2 linked regions of the Anolis sagrei genome follow. The protein of the gene in region 1 interacts with the protein of each later gene in a pairwise test. Links are inferred from orthologs where the notes say so. Each region holds a gene or a part of one and is shown on either strand. Other genes may lie near its edges. The genes, in order: CHN1 and HEMK1.

The links.
Region 2: the proteins of CHN1 (region 1) and HEMK1 interact in binary tests that used the Homo sapiens proteins (3 or more experiments, as listed by UniProt). The two-hybrid records come from large-scale screens. The link is inferred for Anolis sagrei from reciprocal best matches to the Homo sapiens genes CHN1 and HEMK1.

What each region holds. Positions count from the first base shown.
Region 1 is NC_090021.1:191,922,459-191,933,667, reverse strand, and holds the start of CHN1 (N-chimaerin), read right to left. Parts: upstream 4,492-11,209; 5' UTR 4,160-4,491; coding exon 4,141-4,159; intron 1-4,140. UniProt on the Homo sapiens protein: GTPase-activating protein for p21-rac and a phorbol ester receptor. Involved in the assembly of neuronal locomotor circuits as a direct effector of EPHA4 in axon guidance.
Region 2 is NC_090022.1:71,665,064-71,676,543, forward strand, and holds the start of HEMK1 (MTRF1L release factor glutamine methyltransferase), read right to left. Parts: upstream 4,863-11,480; 5' UTR 4,781-4,862; intron 2,774-4,780; 5' UTR 2,568-2,773; coding exon 2,307-2,567; intron 414-2,306; coding exon 322-413; intron 1-321. UniProt on the Homo sapiens protein: N5-glutamine methyltransferase responsible for the methylation of the glutamine residue in the universally conserved GGQ motif of the mitochondrial translation release factors MTRF1, MTRF1L, MRPL58/ICT1 and MTRFR.

The sequences.
Region 1 (11,209 bases):
CCTCATAGGTCATGTGGCCAGCATGACTGCATGGTGCACCGTTACTTTATAAACAGTTATGAAGTTAAAACAATTATGAGTTAAAACAATTATGAAGAGAAAAGCCTGAGGGAGGATTGTTGTTCTTAATAAACTCTGCATTACCACATGTGTCTGACAAACCTCAGCAAAATTACAAATAAGAGCAAACAGCATCACTACAACATTATGCAGAAACACATTATGCATAAATTACAATTATGCAAAATTATTCAGTAGAAAGCACTCCCTCAAGTTAAGAAACAGGAATGAGTTATTAATGTAATGAAATTTTCTTCCACAAATAATATTTTAATATCAAGATTATTTTTGCTTCACTTTACTGTCACCAAGTGCTTTTTAATTGCCAAGTTAGAAATGTGTGCAATTAAGCTTAATAATTATTTTAATTTATTAATACGCTCTCATATAACATTCTGTTTTAATAGTTTATTTACCAGAGTGTTTGCCTGCTGCTGGAAACATAAATGCATCAAATATAAAATACCTTGTTTTTATTTTTTTAAACCCTCATTTCTTTAATGTGCAATGTTTCTCTTTAAAAACTTGCAAAGACAGTTTACTAAATGAAGATCAGATAGCTACATCTTTACTCATCTCGCTTTTGCTGCCAATATGATCTTTTCTTTGGGAGGGAAAATACATAATGTTGGGAACTCTAACCTGCTTCCTAGGCCCACAAAAAAATCAGTTTCTCCCAGTTCTGGAGCAACTTCTTCCAACCAGGATATACAAGAAGCTAGACAACTACAAAGGAGTAAGACAGATGGTATTCCCAGGGTGCCTTTGAGGAAACACACCTCATGGTTGCAAGTGCCAGCCATATCGATTTCTCTCTCTCTCTTGTGAACAGAGGTGAAAGAACAGATCGTATAAAGTCTGGTGCTAAATATGCCAGAAGCAAATCAACTTTAAAAAAAAAAAAAAACCCAAAACACTCTCAAAACTGTCTTCAGGAGCATGCACACACCCATTCTGCCTGGAGCAGAAACAATAGGAGAGATACAGAGGGAGTAGCAGCCTTCTCTTGCTTGCCAGTCTAACTGCTGCTGTTGTTATAACTAACTTCAAGTTGACCTCTACCAATGGTGACCCTATGAATAAGGTTCCAAATCCTCAACATCCCTGCTCAGGTCTTGCAGACCTGCGATTTCCTCAATTGAATCTATACACCTGTAATGCTTCCTTCCTCTTTTTCTCCTGCCTTCTACCTTACCAAGCAGTATTATCCTATCTAGTGAACCACCCCTTCTTATGACATGTCCAAAGTACGACAGTCTCAGATGAGCCATTTTGTCTTGTAGGAAGGGGTTTGGCTTGATTTGCTCAAGGACCCATTTATTGGTCATTTTTAACCCTCTTGGCTTCTAGAGGGAGTTCAGCTCTGAGTCTAGGGCCAGCTGAAAAAAAATCCACATTTTCTGCTTTGAATTGGAAGATATGGCAGTGTGGGCTCAGATAATAACCCAGTTCAAAGTGGATATTGTGGGATTTTACGCCTTAACATTCTGGGTTATATGGTTGTGTGGAAGTGCCCTAAGACCCATTTGCTGGTCATGCATTTGGCTTGAAGGGACATTCTTCCTTGATTTACTCTGGGATCCATTTATTGGTCATTTATGTGTTCCTGTTGGCTTCTAGGGATAGTTCAGGATTGAGTCTAAGGTTGGATCTACACTGCCCTATATCCCAGGATCTGATCGCAGGTTGTCCACTGATTCCAGATGATCTGGCAGTGTAAACTCATATAATCCAGTTCAAAGCATATAGTCTGGGATCATATACTGTGACATAGGCAGTGTAGATCCAGCCTAAGACCCATGTATTGGTCATTTATTTACTCATCTTGGCTTGTAGGGAGAGTTCAGCCTTGGGTACTTCCAGACAGGCCCTATATCCCAGCATCTGATCCCAGGTTTTCTGTTTATCCCAAGGCCCTTCTACATAGCCATATAACTCAGAAAATCAAGGGAGAAAATCAGACAATCTTTGCTTTGAACTGGAGGCCCTTCCACACAGCCCTATATCCCAGAATATCAAGGGAGAAAATCCCACATTATCTGAGTGTGGACTCAGATAACCCAGTTCAAAGCAGATATTGTGGGATTTTCTGCCTTGATATAGGGCTGTGTGGAAGGGCCTAGGGTTTTTTTTTTTTATCATGTCAGGAGCGACTTGAGAAACTGCAAGTCGCATCTGGAATGAGAGAATTGGCCGGCTGCAAGGACATTGCCCAGGGGACACCCGGATGATTTGATGTTTTTATCATCCTTGTGGGAGGCTTCTCTCATGTCCAGCTGATAGAGCTGGAGCTGATAGAGGGAGCTCATCCGCCTCTCCCCGGATTTGAACCTGCGACCTGTTGGTCTTCAGTCCTGCCAGCACAGGAGCCAGGGCCTAGGGTGATCTGTGTGTACACTGCCACATATTCCAGTTCAAAGCAGAAAATGTGGGATTTTATTCAGCTGTGTGGAAGGAGCCCTAGATTATCTGGCAGTGGGGGCTCATATAAAAAATCCAGTTTAATGCAGAAAAATAGAGTTGAGACATTGGGATATTGGGCCTGTCTGGAGGGTTCTCTTGATTCCCAGGGCCCTTCCACACACCCCTATATCTCAGAATCTCTGCTCTTCTCTTAGGCCATCCCTTGTTGTCAGAGTAGGATAGTCTTCCAAGATCAGTGTACTGGTGGGTCTGTAGGTGACTGTGGTGCCCTATTTTTGATATGCATCAAGGCAGGAAATCCCACAATATCAAGGCAGAAAATCCCACAAAATCTGCTTTGAACTGGGTTATCTCAGAGCCCTTCTACACAGCCATATAACTCAGAATATAAAAGCAAGAAACCTCACAATATCTGCTTTGAACTGGGTGATCTGAGTCTACACCGCCATATTCCAGTTGAAAGCAGAGAATGTGGGATTTTATTCTTCAGCTGTGTGGAAGGGGCCTGGGTTATCTGTGCCCAGGCCCCTTCCACACAGCTGAATAAAATCTGCTTTCAACTGGAATATAAGGCAGTGTGGACTTAAGGACCTTCCACACAGCCCTATGCCTTAGAATATCAAGGCAGGAAATCCCACAATATCTGCTTTGAAGTGGGTTATCTTAGTCCACACTCAAGTAATGTGGGATTTCCTGCCTTGATATTCTGGGATATAGGACTATGTAGAAGGGCTCCTTGATTCTAGGACCCATTTGTGAGTCATTTATGGAGTCATCTGGGCACCCTTCCACACAGCTGAATAAAATCCCACATTCTCTGCTTTCAACTGAAATATAGGCAGAAGCGGCCCTAGGTAATTTTCAATGGTAAGCAAACAGTATTCCCCCCCCCCCCCCCAATCACTGATATATATTTTGTGTTTGTCATGGGAGTTCTGTGTGCCATATTTGGTTCAATTCCATCATTGGTGGAGTTCAGAATGCTCTTTGATTGTAGGTGAACTATATATCCCAGTAACTACAACTTGCATATGTCAAGATCTATTTTCCCCCAAGAGCGCCTCAAGAGCGCCCCTGGGCAAAATCAACTATACTGCAAAGGCTTACTTTGAGTAATGGTTGAGCTGCCCCTGAATATAGGGCTGTGTGGACTCAGATCACCCACTTCAAAGCAGATCTTGTGGGATTTTCTGCCTTGATATTCTGGAATATAGGGCTGTGTGGAAGGGCTCTGAGATAAAATCCCACATTCTCTGCTTTCAACTGGAATATAAGGCAGTGTGTGGACTTAAGGCCCTTCCACACAGCCCTGTATCCCAGAATATTAAAGCAGAAAATCCCACATTATCTATGTCCACACTCTGATACTGTGGGATTTCCTGCCTTGATATTCTGGGATACAGGGCTGTGTGGAAGGGCCCCTTGATTCTAGGACCCATTTCTAAGCCATGTATGGAGTCATCTGGGCTTGTAGGGAGAGTTCAGTCTGGACGCGCTTATTGGCTTGTATGGGCGGCTCAGCCTCGAGTCTTGGCTACCCTGTGGAGGGAAAGGAAGGAGGACGCAGCCCGCGCCTTCCATGGCGAGCCCACCCCGTCCCCAGACCCAGGCGCGCCCTCTCCCCCTTTTGCCCCCGAGCCGAGCGCTGTGACTCACCGAAGAGGGTCAGGGCCATGGCGAAGGCGCGGCGAGGCGGAGGGCACGGGCTCCGCGCCTCCCTAGACGCGCAGCCGAGGAAGCCAACCAGGCGCACAAAGAGCGGCGGCTGCAATAAAAGTTCTCTCGCCTGAAGAGGCGCCGGGTGGGGATGGTGAGGGGCTGGGCTCCGTTTGGGGCTTTGTGGGCGGGCCCAGGGGAGGCTGGGCGGTGGCTCTGGCCGAGGAAACTTCAGACAGCTGTTGCCCGCCGGAGGGACGCCTCGCTCTCCCGGCGCTTCTTCCCGCCGCCTCGGCTCAGCAGCCGCCTTTCAGGCTCTGGTAGCCATCTTGGCTCGCCACATGACCGGCTCCCCCTCCCCTCCTCGAGCCCAGCGCCAGTTCCCATGGCAACGGGGGCTCGCGGGCCACCAGCCTCCTCCATCCCTGGCCCGCCCTCTCTCCTTCCCTCCTGTCAACCTCGCAGAAGCAAAGCTAGAAGGGATGCTGCATTGGTTTCTCTTTCTGAAGAGGAGAGGGAGCAACAGGGTCTCTCTCTCTCTCTCTCTCTCTCTCTCTCTCTCTCTGCCCAACTTCACTCTTTTCCACATCTCCTCCAAAGCACTTCGCAGTGACCAACACTCTCATGTCTCACTTTGGGAGGACGGATCTGCATACACTGTAGAACAGGCTTGGGCAAACTTTAAGCTTAAGCGGCTGAGGGGGAAAAGGAAGGGGCCTGAGGCTGTTAGGAATTGTAGGAGTTGAAGTCTAAAACACCTGGAGGGCCAAAGTTTGCCCAAACCTTTTGTAGAATGAATGCAGTTTTATAGTATAGTAGAGCAGTGGTTCTCAACCTGTGGGTCCCCGAAATACAACACCGCCTGAGCTCTGCGAGTGCAGCATTTTCCCGAATGAAGCAGAGAGTGTTTGAGGACCAGGACATCCGTAGGGATACTAAGGTGCTTGTCTATAAAGCTATTGTCCTCCCAACCCTGCTCTATGCCTGCGAAACGTGGACTGTCTACAGACATCACATGCAACTTCTGGAACTATTCCATCAGTGCTGCCTCCAGAAAATCCCGGAAATCTCTTGGGAAGACAAGCGGACAAACGTCAGCGTGCTGGAAGAAGCAAAGACCACCAACATTGAAGCGATGGTCCTCCAACATCAACTCCACTGGGCCGGCCACGTTGTCTGGATGCCCGACCACCATCTCCCAAAGCAGTTGCTCTACTCTGAACTTAAGAACGGAAAACAGAATGTTGGTGGACAGGAAAAGAGATTAAAGATGGCCTCAACGCCAACCTTAAAAACTCTGACATAGACACTGAGAACTGGGAAGCCCTGGCCCTTGAGCGCTCCAGCTGGAGGTCAGCTGTGACCAGCAGTGCTGCAGAATTCGAGGAGGCACGAGTGGAGGGTGAAAGAGAGAAATGTGCCAGGAGGAAGGCGGGTCAAGCCAACCCCAACCGGGACCGCCTTCCACCTGGAAACCAATGCCTTCACTGTGGGAGAAGATGCAGGTTAAGAATAGGGCTCCACAGCCACCTACAAATCCACAAAAATAGTCATCAAGGAAGACCATCTTACTCATCCAACGAGGGATCGCCTAAGTAAGTAAGTAAGTGGGTCCCCAGATGTGTTGACTTTCAACTCCCAGAAATCTTAACAGGTGGTAATGTCACGTTGCAAGGGCTCTGCCTCTATTCAGGCAGAGGTGAATCAAACAAACAGCCAGTTTGAAACAATTTAATTAAAACAGCACTTACTTTCTGGCTGTTTTAATAGTCCAAAACATAAAGATAGCACTCGGCCACAGAATATAAAAAACTGACAGCAAACACTGTTACAGGTTCAAGATAACTCCGTAGTCAAAAGGTCCAGTCCAGTGGTCAAATGACAAGAGTTCAGTGAGCAAAGTCCAGGGATCAAGAGTTTATACCAGGGTCCTCAAACTAAGGCCCGAGGGCTGAATATGGCCCCCCAAGGTCATTTACCTGGTCCTTCGTCAGGGTCAACCTGTCTAAAACAAATTGAAAACACACAATAACTACAACAATCCTATCTCATCAGCCCAAAGCAGGTCCGCACTTCCCATTGAAATACTAATAAGCTTATATTTGTTCCAATTATTCTTCATTTTAATTATTGTATTGTTTTAAAGTGTTTTTTTGCACTACAAATAAGATATGTGCAATGTGCATAGGAATTCGTTCATGTTTTTTTTTTCCAAATTATAATCCGGCCCTCCAACAATTTGAGAGATTGTGACCTGGCCCTCTGTTTAAAAAGTTTGAGGACCCCTGGTCCATACCACAGTCAAAAGCCAGTCCAGAGATTCAAGGTTCCAGGGTTCAAGAGACAGTTCAGGATACCAAAAATCCACAAACCTGGGGGAAAACCAGCAGCATCTACCACCAAAATAAAACAAATACTTTTGTCCCAAAGATCAGTCCCAAGGCTAGCTCATTTTATCCAGAAACACCCAGCTGCAGTCTATCCCTTGCATACCTCCACCCTTAATTGCCTTCACCCATGTACTCTTACTTACAGATTACTCAACCCTTTAGAACTAAGACTTACATTAACCCTTCCATCACGAACTGCTAGGCCTACCACCATCAACTGCAGAACATGATACATGGCAGGTAAACTGGTTGGGATTTCTATGAGTTGTAGGGCAAAACACCTGGAGACCCACAAGTTGAGAACCACTGCAGTAGAGTCTAGATAAACGAAAATGTTGGATAATAAGGAGGGATAAAGGAAAAGCCTATTAAACATCAAATTACGTTATGATTTTACAAATTAAGCACCAAAATATCATGTTTTACAACAAATCGACAGAAAAAAGCAGTTCAATACATGTTATGTAGTAATTGCAGTATTTAAAAATTTAGCACCAAAACATCACAATGTATTGAAACAGCTATGGATCTGGGTGGAAGGCAGACTGCATTGGATAATACAGAACGTTGGGTGAGTGAAGGTTGGATAAGCGAAGCTCTACTGTAATATAAAATAACAGCTCTTTGTCCTTTAACATATCTACAGTATTTCTTACTCATCAATTAAGATCACATGGTTACCTTGTGACCTTGTTATTTTCTCTAAGCATGGCCAGACTTAAAGAGATAGTTCCTTGTCTGGCTTTTTCTGAGCTCTGGGAAAACATTAACCAGAGGGATAAAACTGACCAGGCAAGTTCTGGCTAAACAGAGACCTGAAGTGTATCTACATTGCAGAATTAATGTAATTTGAGATCACTTTAATTGCCATAGCTCAATTCTACGGAATTATGAGAACTGTCATTTTACAAAGTTTTATCTATTTATTTACTGCATTTATACCCCACCCTCTCTCACCCCAAAAGGAGCAGCTTACAAGTTATATGTACATACAATATATATTTTTAGCATAGCACAATATTAGCATTATTTATTACTATATTGTACCATGCCACCATACTGTAATATTATCAGTAATATTGCATGTAATATGTAATTAATATTATGTTATATTATTAGTATTATGTTGTATTACATATTATTATCAATATTATATGTATATACAATATATTGTATTATTAGCATAACACAATAATAGCATTATACATTACTTTATTGTATTATACAACTATACTGTAATATTATTAGTAATATTACATGTAATATATAATATATAATTTATATTAGTATATTATTAATAGTAGTATATTGTATTATTATTAGTAGTACTATATTGTATTATATTACAATATGCAATACAAATGGGAGATTGCTGGAGGGACCTTTCTTTAATTGTACAGCCATCTCTATTCCCAAGAGTTTATTTATTTATCGTGTCAGAAGTGAACCAAAACAGTTGTATTGCATTAAAAACAAACAAACCACAAAGTTTGCAGACTTGGCAAGAGTTTGCAGACTATTAAATGTCCTTTGGAGTGCTTCTGGTGTTGCTGCAAGAAGGTCCTCCACTGTGCATGTGGCAGGGCTCAGGTTGTATTGCAGCAGGTGGTCTGTGGTTTGCTCTTCTTCACTCTCGCATGTCGTGGATTCCACTTTGTAGCCCCATTTCTTAAGGTTGGCTCTGCATCTCGTGGTGCCAGAGCGCAGTCTGTTCAGCTTCTTCCAAGTTGCCCAGTTTTCTGTGTGCCCAGGACGGAGTCTCTCATTTGGCATTTTATACAAATGGGGCATTGGAGAAGCAGCTGCCTTCAGGATATATTTGATCCAAGTTAACACATTTATACATTGATACAATACACAATCAATACAAGTTACATAGGAAATATCAATTTTATACATTAAAGAGTATAGCTTTGATATAGTTTGGAATACAGTTGCTGCTGGGTCCTTCTGGAGCCTCCAGTAGCTTTGACATTGCAAAACTTTGAGAGAAAAATGCTTAAAAATCATAAAAAATCATATTTCTTGCTTGAAGTCTTCTTGTTGCTCATAAACCTTTAGGGAGGGAAGTGCTGTGGCTTGACAACTTCTAGATAGTGGCAGAAGATAGCTCAAAAACCAGCACTAGTACATGGACACCATTTAAAATAGCATTATGAAACACACTTCGGAATTGCATCACTTGAACTTAGGCACATCTTCCTTTATAATATGCCAACTTAACTGGGAATGGGAGGACAATATTGTTGCTACTAGGGGTTTACAACAGGCTTTTTCTAAGTAACGGAGGATAAGAAGCTTTTCTGTTACAGCTGCCACGGGTTGACTGGGTGTGTTATCAGTTCCACTAAGACTTGCAAGCTTTGAGCTTTGCATTTTGTCTTAGCTTGATGGCTCGTTTTGAGCTGAAAAAACCTTTGGCTGTTGCTGGGAGTGGTTATGCATCGTCCTGAAGCTGAAGATCGAAGCAGTTTGGAATGCCAGAGAAACTGCTTGTTTATGGCAAGACAAGGACATTCAACTGATAACTAAGTAGAGAGACTGTATTATTTTGCTATATGTTTGCATATCATCATGTAAAGAAGACTCATCGGAGATATTGTTAGTTGTATATTGGTGAGAACAATTCTGTTTTGCTTTGTGTTTTTGCTCTACAGTGAATAGAACTATATTTTTGTTTCTACTTAAAGCAACAGACTCGTGTATTTTTTGAGTTTTTATCACATTGAGAGTAAAAGTGGCTGAGACATTCTGTGGGCTGCTAACGCTACTCTGACAAATATGAGCAGGCCACTTTTCATGAATGGGGAAAGATACACAAGAACAAAAATGCTAATTCGGAGTCCCCTCCTATAAGAGTTATTTCTACATCCATGGAAAGCATCAATAGAAACTGGTTGATCTTGTTGCTGCACATTCCAGCAAATGGAACTAGTCCTAAACAGTGTTACACCATATCTTTCTCAATAATCTCCACAGATAAGGAAGAAGAAAAATAATAACACTATGTAACAAAATTTGAAAATGTTTCTGTTCCTGCTTTGAAAGTGTTATTCCTTTTAATTTTGTGGTACTTATTTTGAAAGTACTTGTCATACTCCAAAAACTTCATTTTTGTGATTGCTACAAACTATGTTGAATTGGTTAAATCTCGACTAAGTATTCCCTTAAAAACTATAGCAAAATGTGCTGCAAAATGTTTAATAAACCTTTTTCATGTTTTAATGATAGAACCAATTAGGAAATGACATTTATAACCCAGGAACAAAAAGTGTTATATAGTGCTGAGGTGGGGAATTATTCAGGATATTTAAAGGGCTATTGCCCTAATTTAAGTTTTCCTCTTGAGCTGTTCCCAGGTGTCCACTAAATCATAATAAGCATTCAGCATACATTGAAAGCTGTGTGATAAAATCATTCAAAAAGAGATTTCATAATGGCTGAAACATGTGCACATGTGGGAGTGACAGGAATTTTTCAGAGGTTTCTGCAGTTTCCTCACATCATAGAATGTCACTAGACTGGCCTAGCTAGGATTTTACTATCCTTACTCTGTTAGTGTTTCATGATCAACATGTGTTATAAATTGGCAAGGGCACACAGTGTTTTTAAGCAAAAAGAACTTGACCGAACCTAGGAAGGAAATGTTGAACCAGGGACAACTGAGTCTATTCTTCCAACAGCTATGAAGCCAGTAGAAGGGCAGAAGAAATTGCTTCTTCTACTTCCGGTCCCTGTAAGAATCAAAATGGTGTTAGTATACAAGTGGCATTTCAGTGACAGATATAGGGACACACCTTCAACAATCAGATATTCATTGATCATTGACTAAGGTAACACTTATCTTTCTCCCCCTCCACTAACAACAGAGATCACTTACATCTCTACTCCACTTTCTGAGTGCTGTATTAAATTACTAGGCAATTACCTGTCTTCAATCCATTCAAAAGCAAGGAGAGCAAGGGGTAACATCATCACCACCATCATCTGTGAATAGTAGTTCAGAATACTGCAGCATGTGAAACTGCAAGTTGTAACTAGCTACAAACTTAAAGTATTCATAATAAATATAAGCATTTATATATTACCTCTTATATGGTTTGAGGTATAACATGGTTAAAGCAGACAGACAAATACAACACTATTAAAATGCATAAATCAAAATACACACAACAAAGACCAATACTAATAAAATACAGGTTAAAATTCACTGTTTAAAATTGACTGGAAGAGATGGGTCTTCAGTTCTGTCTTGAATGCTGACAGCCCATTTAGCTTTTCAGATCTCTTCTGGGATGTCATTTCACAGTCTTGAGACAACTGATGAAAAAGTCTGCTGATGGTTCTTTCTGGCTGGAATGGTTGCCCCCCAGAGGCCCTAAGTGTCCTAAGGTGTAGATTGTATGGGAGACGGCAATCTTGCAGGTAACTTGGACCCAAACTATGGAGGGCTTAAAAGGTTATAGCCAACACTTTGTACTTTGTCTGAAAACTAATTGGCAACCAGAGTGTAATATACCCATTCCTAGATATTCCTGTAAGTATTCTGGCTGCCATGTTTTGAACTACTGGTAATTGGGGTTTTTGAACTTGGTAAAGAGATAGCCCAATGTAAAGCATGGGCTATCTCTTGAGGTTACCAGCATGTGTACCACCATCTTTACGTCCTCCAGATCTAG
Region 2 (11,480 bases), on another chromosome or scaffold:
TTTGTTGTATTGTCAATATTTTTCTACCTCTGAGAATACAAAAGTCTCACTGCCAGAACCATGCAATGAAACATTTTTTTTATTTACACCTATAAGCATTTTAAGTAAACAATATATAAGGATGCATTTTTTCTAAACTGGACAGTCAGATTCCCCTTTAAAGAAACAACAAATGTAACACATTTCTTCCATTTTTTCATGACACAAGCCACAATCATCTGCTAAGCACCTGAGAGTTGACAGATCCCCTTCCTTCCTCCCTTCTGCCAACTTTTCTGTAAAGTTCTGGAAAAAGGCAAGTATGTTGGTATAGCCACTCACCTTTGAAGGCGTTTTGCACACAGCTGCTCAACCTGTTCCTGCTGCTGGACTGAGAAGTAAGGAGAAATGTTGCCAGCATTTAAGCTCTGAAACTGAAAAGGAAGTCAATTGCAAGTGTTTAAATTTACTGTTAGCTCACCAAATCAAGTGTGTAAATGTCAGAATACTGATATGAAGCCAATGGCAGAGTTAGAAAAATTAAATGGGGACTACAGCATCGAATGGCCACGCTGCTGAGGACCTGGAAAAGGGAGGGGGCGGCTTTCATATGCATTGATTCTAAAATAAAAGTCTTGCTTGGTTAGAGGCAGCCAATCACAGTTCAGGATGAGGCCAGAGTCCATCTAGCATCCTATCTTGTTTCCCAAGTTAGGAGACTAAATCTTGGGAAACAATGTTAGATCTTGGGAAACAAAATTAGATATAAAATAGCCCAGTTAAAAAACACTGTTTCCTTTTCCCCCAAAAAGCCTTATTTTCTATAAAAATAAATAAAAATGGATCTTGTTTCTTCCTTCTAAAATGATAAACAGTTTAAGGCAAGGTTTATGTATTTATTATATGAAAACTAGGCAAAAACATTTATATAAGCCTATATGCAGTATCACACCATTGCATTTTCTGGACTTTTCTTTTCTTTTTTTCTGTTCCTTTTATGGGAATAAGTGCTTTATGTCTGCTTTGATATTGCAGAGGACTATAGGAGACAAAACAGTTCTTTGATACTCTTCTGTTTTTTGTTTTGTTTTGCAGGTTTATCACACACTGACAAACTCAATTCAGTTCCTTATAATTCAGGATTTGCTTACAATTCAAGATTTTTATTCAAAGGTACTGTGTTGGACAAACAGCAAAATGAAACAAAATCAAAAATCCACAAAAGAAGTTAACATGACAAAAAAGCCAGAAGAGCTTCAAAAGCTTGCATAAAGTGGTTTGTGCATTAGGTTTGGTCAAAAATTGTATCATGCTTTTGTGAAATTTGGAATTTGTAACTCTGTTGTAACAAAAAAAAATTAAATTAAATTAGTCTGAATAAATGATTTTTAAGTAAATAAAACATGGTAAGTTTAATACCAGACAAAGTTATATTTCACATTCCTAAAACAACAAAGTGACTTTCAATCTTCCAAGCATGTTAATATTGCTTTTTTCCAGTTTTTTTCATACAGTTTCAAAATTTCTGAAAACTTCATTATCTCTGGACATTGTGCCTCTAAACACACAGGGTACCAAGAGCTATTACAGTTGTTAATAGACCCAGTTCCCATAAATCTATCTTTAATTCACTTTTCAAGAAGGCTTGTATTTAACAACTTGTCTGGAATGCGAAGGGATCTTTTAACACCTTTGAGACTAAATGAGAGGAAGAAATTTGTAGGATAAGTTTTTGTAGACTAGGTCTATTTCCTCAGATGCCACTGATGAAGTAGATCCAGTGTTTGAAATCTTAACGTTACAAACATCTTTCTCTCAGTTAGTCTCAAAGTACCTCAATATTCCTTGGGATACTGACCTAGATTAACATGGCTATTCCCTTGAAGCTGCATGGTAGTCGTAATAGTGAAGAAATTCCATGCAGGAGAATGAGACAGTTGGAAGAGGAATTTTTTGCACTTGCTAGAGGTATAAACAGGATGAACTGTACTGAGATGCTATTGCAACATGCAAGTGCATCCTCAATATACCTTGACAAAAGCAGAGGAGTTCACACTTTAAATCTATAACAGAAAAGGAAACCATGTGGTTATTCTGATGTTACTAGACTGTAACTCCTGTCATTGCTGACTATGCTGGCTAGGGCTGATGGAGTTTCACTGTAATAAAATCTGGAAGGTTAAACATTTCTCATATCTGGTCTACAAGAAGTACTCTTTATCTCACAGACTAGGTCTAGAATTAACTGGAACATCATACATGTGACAGGCCTCCAGATATTCATTCCAATGCTTTGCGCAGACTTAAAATACTTCATAACACTTAACTGTTTTTGCTCCCAGAACATGAGAAACAATATATTCAGAAGAAGCCCGTGCTTCAGGGATCTCATTGGCCTCAAACACATCTTGCCAGTAGCTGACCAGTTCAGCAGCTGTCACCAAGCCAGCCTTAGAATGTGAACACTGCCTTAGCAGTCTGTGGCAAGGATGCAGGACACAGTTCCTGGCCAAAATCACTCCAAGATGGCCACAGTAAGGGGACAAATACAGAAGTTTCCTGTACAAAGAACTGGTGAAAACAGTCATGGCTCCAGAAGGTAACAACTTCCAAAAACAGAAAGAAATATCTCCTTTTAAAAGCCCTCTAAAGTATAATGGGCATCTCCAATAGTATCTGGTGTATTGACAAGTATTAATTTTAATAGATCAGCCCCATCTCTTCGTTCTTCATGAACCAGCATGTCAACAGGCGGTTTCACGTGCCCTTCTCCTGGTAGCCATCCTCTAGAAACCTAAAGAAAAAGAGACAGCCAAAGGGAAACCTCTCAGATTTAAAACAGGTAAACAGCCCATTTAAATAATTTAAACATAGATCATTAAATACAGCCTGTGAATCTATGTTACAGTTCTAGAAAAGAGGAACACTTAATGCACTTTGTTTTCCACAACTGTGGCTTCAATCATGTTTGCAAAAAAAATTAAGCACCACTGAAAATGCCCACACTTGCCTTATTAAGCAACACTGGCTAAAGGGCACTTTATATGTTACAGAATTTTAGCACAAATGAAAGGCTAATGTTCTTTAATGTGAAATTGTTTCCTTGAACATCACTAATATGCAAACTGTTTGCACTGGGCTATGTCACAACTACTTGTGTCTTCTCAGCAGTCATATAGATGGTGTGCATCTCTTGTACTCATGACCTGTTATCTACAGCAATTACATACAGTATATATGAGAAAAGCAAGTCCTAGTTAGTGCTGTAGTGCTTGCAATATCTTTAAACACAACCATGCTTTTGAGTAAGATTCTTCTTTTATCAGTTTTAAACTGCTTAGAAAACACTGGAGTTTTTTAAACAGATGTTTGGTATGGGGTTATGTACTACCAAGTTTCAAAAGACTTCTAACAGATTGGTGATTTAATGCTGGAAAAAATGCATGAGAATAAAAACAGAAAAAGCAATAGATACTTCAGTTGATTTTATTTATTTATGTATATTCTGCCTTTCTCAGGAACATGAACATAATGCCTGCTCAAGCACTGTATTCAAGACAGTTTTCCCTTCTGGAAGAACACACGGTTAGTTTTTTTAAATCCCATTCTCAGGAAAGACAAAGACAAGATAAACAAAACTATTTGGAACCAAGGAAAGTGGTGTGATGCTACTCTTATTCCGTGACACATGCTCGCATTTTTGTTGTCCTAAAATACAACAGGTAGGGGCCCCATCCACACAGCTAAATATAATCCCACATTTTCTGGACTCGGATAAGCCAATTCAAAGCAGATATTCTGGGTTATACGGCTGTGTGGAAAGGCCTGGAGGCCCCTTCTACACTGTCATATAATCCAGATTATTGAAGAAAAATAATCAATATCATCTGCTTTGAACTGGGTTATATAAGTCTACACTGCAATAATCCAGTTCAAAGCAGATAAACTGGATTTTGTAGAAGGGGCCCCTTCCACACAGCTAAATATAATCCTACATTTTCTGGAATATATGGCAGTGTGGACTCAGAAAACCCAGTTCAAGGCAGATATTGTGGGATTTTCTGCCTTGATATTCTTGGTTATATGGTTGTGTTTAAGGACCCTTAGGATGCATCTGTGCAGTTTGTTGCCCCTTTAATTGCTATAGCTCAATGCAATGGAATTATGAGAATTGTAATTTTTCAAGGTTTTTGGCCTTCTGTCAGAGAGGGTTTATGCCAAATAAGTAATGCCTCGCTAAACTACAAATCCTAGGATTCTATAGCAGTTAAAGTGATATCAAAGGGCCCTTCCACACAGTCCTATATCCCAAAATATCAAGGCAGAAAATCCCACAGTGTGGACTCAAATAACCCAGTTCAAAGCAGATATTGTGGGATTTTCTGCCTTGATATTCTGGGATATAGGACTGTATGAAAGGGCCCAAAAAGGAATAATGTTATACTGGCGATACACCCTTAGTTAGCTGTATTTTGGTTGGAATCGTGGCTTTTCCCCACTTGTATTTCAACAAGACACGAAACGATTCTAGCCCATATTCCAGTCCTCCGTGTGTTTTGGACTGCACCTCCCAGAAGCCTCAGCTGCCTCTCGACCAATGATGAGGGATTCTGGGAGCTGATGCCCAGAGAGATGGAACCACTGACTTATAATAATGAAACCCAGCCTTCCAGGCTTCTGAAAGCATTGTCCCCTCAACAGAACCGAGCAGGACAGGAGGAACGGAAATGTTATCGGGGTGCCGAGCTGCTAACTGTGATCCTGAGGCACATGAGGCCAATGCCGTTCGGTTCCTACCGACCTCTCAAACGCGTTGGGAAGAAAACACGCCTCACTTCCGGCTTGTGCAGCGCTATTCCTGCGGCACCGGAAATGACGTTGTGGTAATATAGTTCCTAGAGGGCTAAAGTCCCACCTCGTCAAAGGGACGGGTCCCTTTGAAGAGAGGAAAGCGAGAGAGCGAGTAGAGGGCGGCCCCTCGTGGCTGTTCCGGTGCATTGCAGCACATGCTATATGGGTTGTTGTAGGGTTTTTAGGTTGTATGGCATCAGGCTGGAAAAAAAACAACTTATATCCCCATACCAAAAAAGAGAAATGCTAAAGACTGCTCCAACTTCCGTACAGTGGCCCTTATTTCTCATGCCAGTAAGGTAATGCTCAAGATCCTGCAAGGAAGACTCCAGCAATACATGGAGCGAGAGTTGCCAGATGTTCAAGCTGGGTTTAGAAAAGGTAGAGGAACGAGAGACCAAATTGCCAATATCCGCTGGATAATAGAGAAAAGCAGGGAGTTTCAGAAAAACATCTACTTCTGTTTTATTGACTATTCCAAAGCCTTTGACTGTGTGGATCATAATAAATTGTGGCAAGTTCTTGGTGGGATGGGCATCCCAAGCCACCTTGTCTCTCTCCTGAGGAATCTGTACAAGGACCAAGTAGCAACAGTAAGAACTGACCACGGAACAACAGACTAGTTCAAGATTGGGAAAGGCATACGGCAAGGCTGCATCCTCTCACCCAACCTATTCAACTTGTATGCAGAACACATCATGCGATGTCCGGGGCTTGATGAATGCAAGGCTGGGGTGAAAATTGCTGGAAGAAACATTGACAACCTTAGATATGCAGATGACACCACTTTGATGGCCGAAAGCAAGGAGGAGCTGAGAAGACTTCTAATCAAGGTTTAAGAAGTGCAAAAGCTGGGTTGCAGGTAAACATTTAAAAAATCATGGCAACCAGACAGATTGATACTGTTTTTATTGTTGTATTGTATTTTATTGTTGCATTGATGCTGGCATCGAATTGTGCCTTTGTAAGCCGCTCTGAGTCCCCCCCCCCCCCCCCCGGGGTGAGAAGGGTGGGGTAGAAGTGTCTGAAATAAATGAAATAAATAAATTGATAACTGGCAAATAGAGGGAGAAAACGTGGAGGCAGTGGCAGACTTTGTATTTCTAGGTGCAAAGATGACTGCAGACGCAGACTGCAGCCAGGAAATCATGAGGCGCTTACTTCTTGGGAGGAGAGCAATGACTAATCTCGATAAAATAGTGAAGAGTAGAGACATCACACTGGCAAGGAGATCTGCATAGTTAAAGCAATGGTATTCCCCATGGTCACATACGGCTCAGAGCTGGACCATAGGAAAGGCTGAGCGAAGGAAGAGAGATGCTTTTGAACTGTGTTGGAGGAACGTTCTGAGAGTGCGTTGGACCGCGAGAAGATCCAGCCAGTCCATACTTCAGGAAATAAAGCCTGACTGCTCACTGGAGGGAAGGATATTAGAGGCAAAGATGAAGTACTTTGGCCACATCATGAGAAGAAAGGAAAGCTTAGAGAAGACAATAATGCTGGGGAAAATAGAAGGAAAAAGGAAGAGGGACTGACCAAAGGCAAGATGGATGGATGGCACCTTTGAAGTGACTGTTTTGACCTTGAAGGAGCTGGGGGTGGTGATGGCCGACAGGGAGCTCTGGCATGGGCTGATTCATGAGGTCACGAAGAGTTGGAAGTGACTGAACAAATGAACAACAAGCTTTTCGGGGCTGTATCGCATGTTCTAGAAGCATTCTCTCTTGATGTTTCGCCTGCATCTGTGGCAGGCATCCTCAGAGGTTGTGAGGGAAGCCTTCAACAATATGAAATCAAACCCAAGGCTAGCTACAGTAGAGTCCATACAGTTAATACCAAACTGCAACTGCCATGATGGAGACTACAGACAATGCTGTTGCCTGTTATTGGTCAAAAGATATTTAGCCACCTGCATGCCTTCTATTTTTATCAGTTTTATACTAATTTATGCAATGATTTGATACAAAATAAATAAAACTGCCATGATTCTGTAGCATTGAGGCTCAGCAGCTAAAGTGGTGTCAAACTGCATCAGTTCTACAGTGTGGCTGTACCCTAAAAACCGATGAAGTCATCCAACTTGAACATTCATACCACACATTTGCTGTTGCAGATTTGGAAACATGTAGACCAAAGTACAATCTAAGGACTCAAAAAGTATATTGAACCTATGGATAGAGAATCTGTAGATAGTACCATAATTTGTTTATATAGTAGTTGGTGCTCTTTAGTTTTTACCCCATTTGGGGTAAAACGAAACGAAAACTCCCATAACTTTTGATTATTTGCTATGCAGTCTGAGGAGAATGGGAATTGCAGCCCAAATAGCTCTGAGGTTGGGGAAAGCTTGATGGACATTTTTAAAGTCAGACATTATATCCATAAGCCTTGTGTCTAAATTCAAACACCACTCTCCTGCCTAAACAGAACAAACTGCAATTCTCCAGATGTTACTGTATCACAACTCACATCTGCTCTAGTCATGAGGTTTAATAATGAGGAATACTATGTGGTAGAGGCTCTTGTGTGGTGGAAACTCCTTCTTTGGAGGCTTTTTAACAGAGGCCATCTGTCAGGGGTGCTTTGAAAGAGATTTTCGTGCTTCTTTCCCAAAAGGGGATGGACTGGATGGCCCACGAGGTCTCTTCCAACTCTATGATTCTATGATTAATACAGTAGCTGTATTTGGTCTATAGGCCTTGGGTTCTGTTTGACACATCTGCCTTATCTGAAAATCTGAAATAACCCCCAAATCTGCATGGGTGACTGAGATAGTAACACCACAAAATTGTTTAAAATATTATGTGCAAAATTATCTTCAGGTTATGCATATGAAGCAGGCATGGGTAAACTTTGGCACTCTGGCTGTTTTGGAGTTCAGCTAACAGCTGGTAGACTGTTAGGAATTGTGGTAGTTGGAGTCCAAAATACCTGGAGGGCCAAAGTTTTCCCATGCCTGGTATAAAGTGTACAGTATTTCTTGGGGTTAACAGTGGAAACAACATTTTTTATTTTTAAAATGCTATTTTTCAACCTAAGGAAGCATCTCTCTAAGAACCTTTTGGCCTTTCACCAGAATTTGTCCAGTGTCATGCTTTTTGTTCATGTAAGGAGCGACTTGAGAAATTGCAAGTCACTTCTGGTGTGAGAGAATTGGCTGTCTGCAAGGACGTTGCCCAGAGGACACCTAGATGTTTTGATAATTTATCTTCCATGTGGGAGGCTTCTCTCATGTCCCTGCATGGAGAGCTGGAGCTGACAGAGGGAGCTCATCCGCACTCACACTGGATTTGAACCTCCAACCCTTACCCTAACCCAAAGCTTGCCCTAACTGTAACCTCTAACCCTTACCCTAACCCAAACGCAAAACCTTACCCTAACCCGAAACCATAACCTCCAACCCTAACCTTACCCTAACCCTAACTGTAACCTCTAACCCTTACCCTTACCCTAACCGTAACCTCTCACCCTTATGCAAACCCAAACCCTAAACCTTACCCTAACCCTAACCTCTAACCCTTATCCTAACCGTAACCTCTCACCCTTACGCAAACCCAAACCCTAAACCTTACCCTAACCCTAAACTGTAACCTCCAACCCTTACCTAGGGAGAGTGTGGATGAGCTCCCTCTGTCAGTTCCAGCTCTCCATGTGGGGACATGACAGAAACCTCCCACAATGATGGTAAAACAGCAAAACATCCAGGTGTCTCCTAGGTAACGTCCTTGCAGACGTCCTTGCCAATTCTCTAAGAACAGAAGCGACTTGCAGTTTTTCAAGTTGCTCCTGACACGGAAAAAAACCCCCAAGGCCTTTCCCCTTCTCTGCCAAAGAGTACTGGTGGCTCCCCAAATCACAACTTCCAGGATTCCCTAGCACTGAGCCAGGGTGAAGCGTCAAAAGACGCCTCCCGGCCATTCATAGGGTTTCCTCCTGACGGCAAATCCCGCGCAAATCCTAACCTCGAAGGGCGCTCATTGGTCGGCTCTACGGCGGCGAACTGCTCTCCCCGTGAGTGACGTGGACGTAGGCCCAATCGCGAATCTTAGCGCCGCCCCCCGTGGGCCAATCCCAAGCGAAGGGGAGCCCAAAGCCGAACCTCCAGAAGGGCGGCGAGGGGAGGGGACCGGGATCCTCCTCCTCCTCCTCCTCCTCTTGCTGGAGCATCCATCCTCTTCTTCCCGGGGAGACACAATGGCCAGCCAGAGCCGGGCGGCGGCAGCATCAGCACCCACTTCTGAGGCTCCTCCGGCGCAGGTAACCTCCATAGCCGGGAGCCCTGCCTGCCTGCCTGCCTGCGAGGAAGCCAGTCCTATCTGCCGCTGAGTTTCCCACGGAGGCGGCGGAGGAGGAAGGGGGGGGGGAGCGGTCCTCTTGCAGGCTTCGCCCCTTCTCCACCGGGAGGAGCGGGATCAAAAGCAGGCTGGCCTCCAGGGCAAGAGGGAGGAAGTGGATGAGGGACATAGAGGCAGGGAGAGAGAGAAGGCCTGGCAAAAGGGGAGGCCCTGCGTCTACACCGGAGAATGGATGCAGTTTGACTCCGCTTTACTCCTTGCCACGGAATCCTGGGAGTTGGGAGTTTTTGCAAAGTGGTCCGCCTCCCCTGCCAAAGAGGCCCGCGCGCAGGATCCCCCTGGCATTGGAATTAAACTGCATTCGTTCCGCAGTGTAGACGCAGGGCCTCCCTCATCACCAGGTGTCAAACTGTATGGGTTCTGCAGTGGAGAACCTGTCCTAGGAGCTGTGCAAGGGGGAGGGACTCTCTTCCTCCTCCCCCTCCTCCCTGCCTGGGTGCTGATGTCATGGTTTTGGCTCACAGGACTGAGCATCCTCACGAACACGTGCACACGCAAGAGAGAAGGGTGATAGGAGAGAGCCAGGGAGGAGGTCACCAACCTGGAGGGGTAGTTCAAACACTATACTCTCCTTCCATGCTAGGAGGGAAAGTTGACCTGAAAAACAGGCATGGGCCAACTTCGGCCAGGCAGGTGTTTTGGACTTCAACTCCCACAATTCCTAACAGCCTACTCGGTGTCCTGGGGGTGGGTACATAGGTAGTTGTGGAGCCCTATTCTTGACCTGCATCTTCTCCCACAGTGAGGGCATTGGTTTCCAGGTGGAAGGTGGTCTCAGTCGGGGTTTGCTTGATGTGCCTTCCTCTTGGCACGTTTCTCTCTTTCGCCCTCCATTCATGCCTCTTCAAATTGTACAGCACTGCTGGTCACAGCTGACCTCCAGCTGGAGCGCTCAAGGCCAGGGCTTCCCAGTTCTCAATGTCTATGCCACAGTTTTTTAGGTTGGCTTTGAGGCTATCTTTAAATCTCTTTTCCTGCCCACCAACATTCCGTTTTCCGTTCTTGAGTTTGGAGTAGAGCAACTGCTTTGGGAGACGGTGGTCGGGCATTCGGACAACGTGGCCAGTCCAGCGGAGTTGATGGCGAAGGACTATCACTTCAGTGCTGGTGGTCTTTGCTTCTTCCAACACGCTGACATTTGTCCGCTTGTCTTCCCAAGAGATTTGCAGGATTTTTCAGAGGCAATGCTGATGGAATTGTTCCAGGAATTGCATGTGACATCTGTAGATAGTCCACGTTTCACAGGCGTATAGCAGAGTTGGGCGGACAACAGCTTTATAAACAAGCACTTTGGTATCCCTACGGATGTCACACCACACAATTATAATACGAACTTGAGTATCCCTCATCCAAAATTCTTGAGGCCAGAGGTGTTTTTAATGCTGTTGACCTTTCCTCAGTATTTAGAATGCCTGTATTTGCATATATTTACATAATGAGACAACTTGGAGATAGGACCCGTGTTTAGACGTCATTTTCAGGCATGTTTCCAATTCGTCTTCTACACATAGACTAAAGTTAGTCTTTTTGAATAATATTGTGAATGAAACAAAGTTTGTGAACATTGAACCCTCAGCCATCAAAAGTGTTACCATCCCAGCCTCCCATGTGAACCATTTCCAATTTGAGAATTCTGGATACTCAGCTTATACTATGATTCCTCTTTAGCAGCCCTGGCTGCATCCTATGGAATCCTGGAAGAAAACTCTAAATGCCCCTCTGAAATTATCAATCCCAGGATTCAGTAGCATGTTGCCTAGGTGATTATAGTGGAATCATAGTACTATAACCGTGTAGTGTGAAAAAGCCCCAGAAAAAAAGAATTTAGCTTACTTTCTTTTTTATATATATATATATATGTATAAAATCGTAGAGTTGGAAGAGACCTCTTGTGCCACCCAGTCCAAACCCCTGCCAAGAAGCAGGAAAATCACATTCAAAGCACCTCCAACAGATGGCCATCCAGGATCTGTTTGAAAGCCTCCAAAGAGGGAGGAGGGAGCAAGCTTGTATTCTTTTGCCCTGGAGACTAGGATGTGGAAAAATGTCTTCAAATTACAGGAAAGGAGATTCCACCTGAACATTAGGAAGAACTTCCTGACTGTGAGAACTGTTCAGCAGTGGAACTCTCTGCCCCGGAGTGTGGTGGAGGCTCCTTCTTTGGAGGCTTTTAAACAGAGGCTGGATGGCCATCTGTCGGAGGTGCTTTGAATGCAATATTCCTGCTTCTTGGCAAGGGGTTGGACTGGATGGCCCATGAGGTCTCTTCCAACTCTATGATTCTATGAAAGAAGG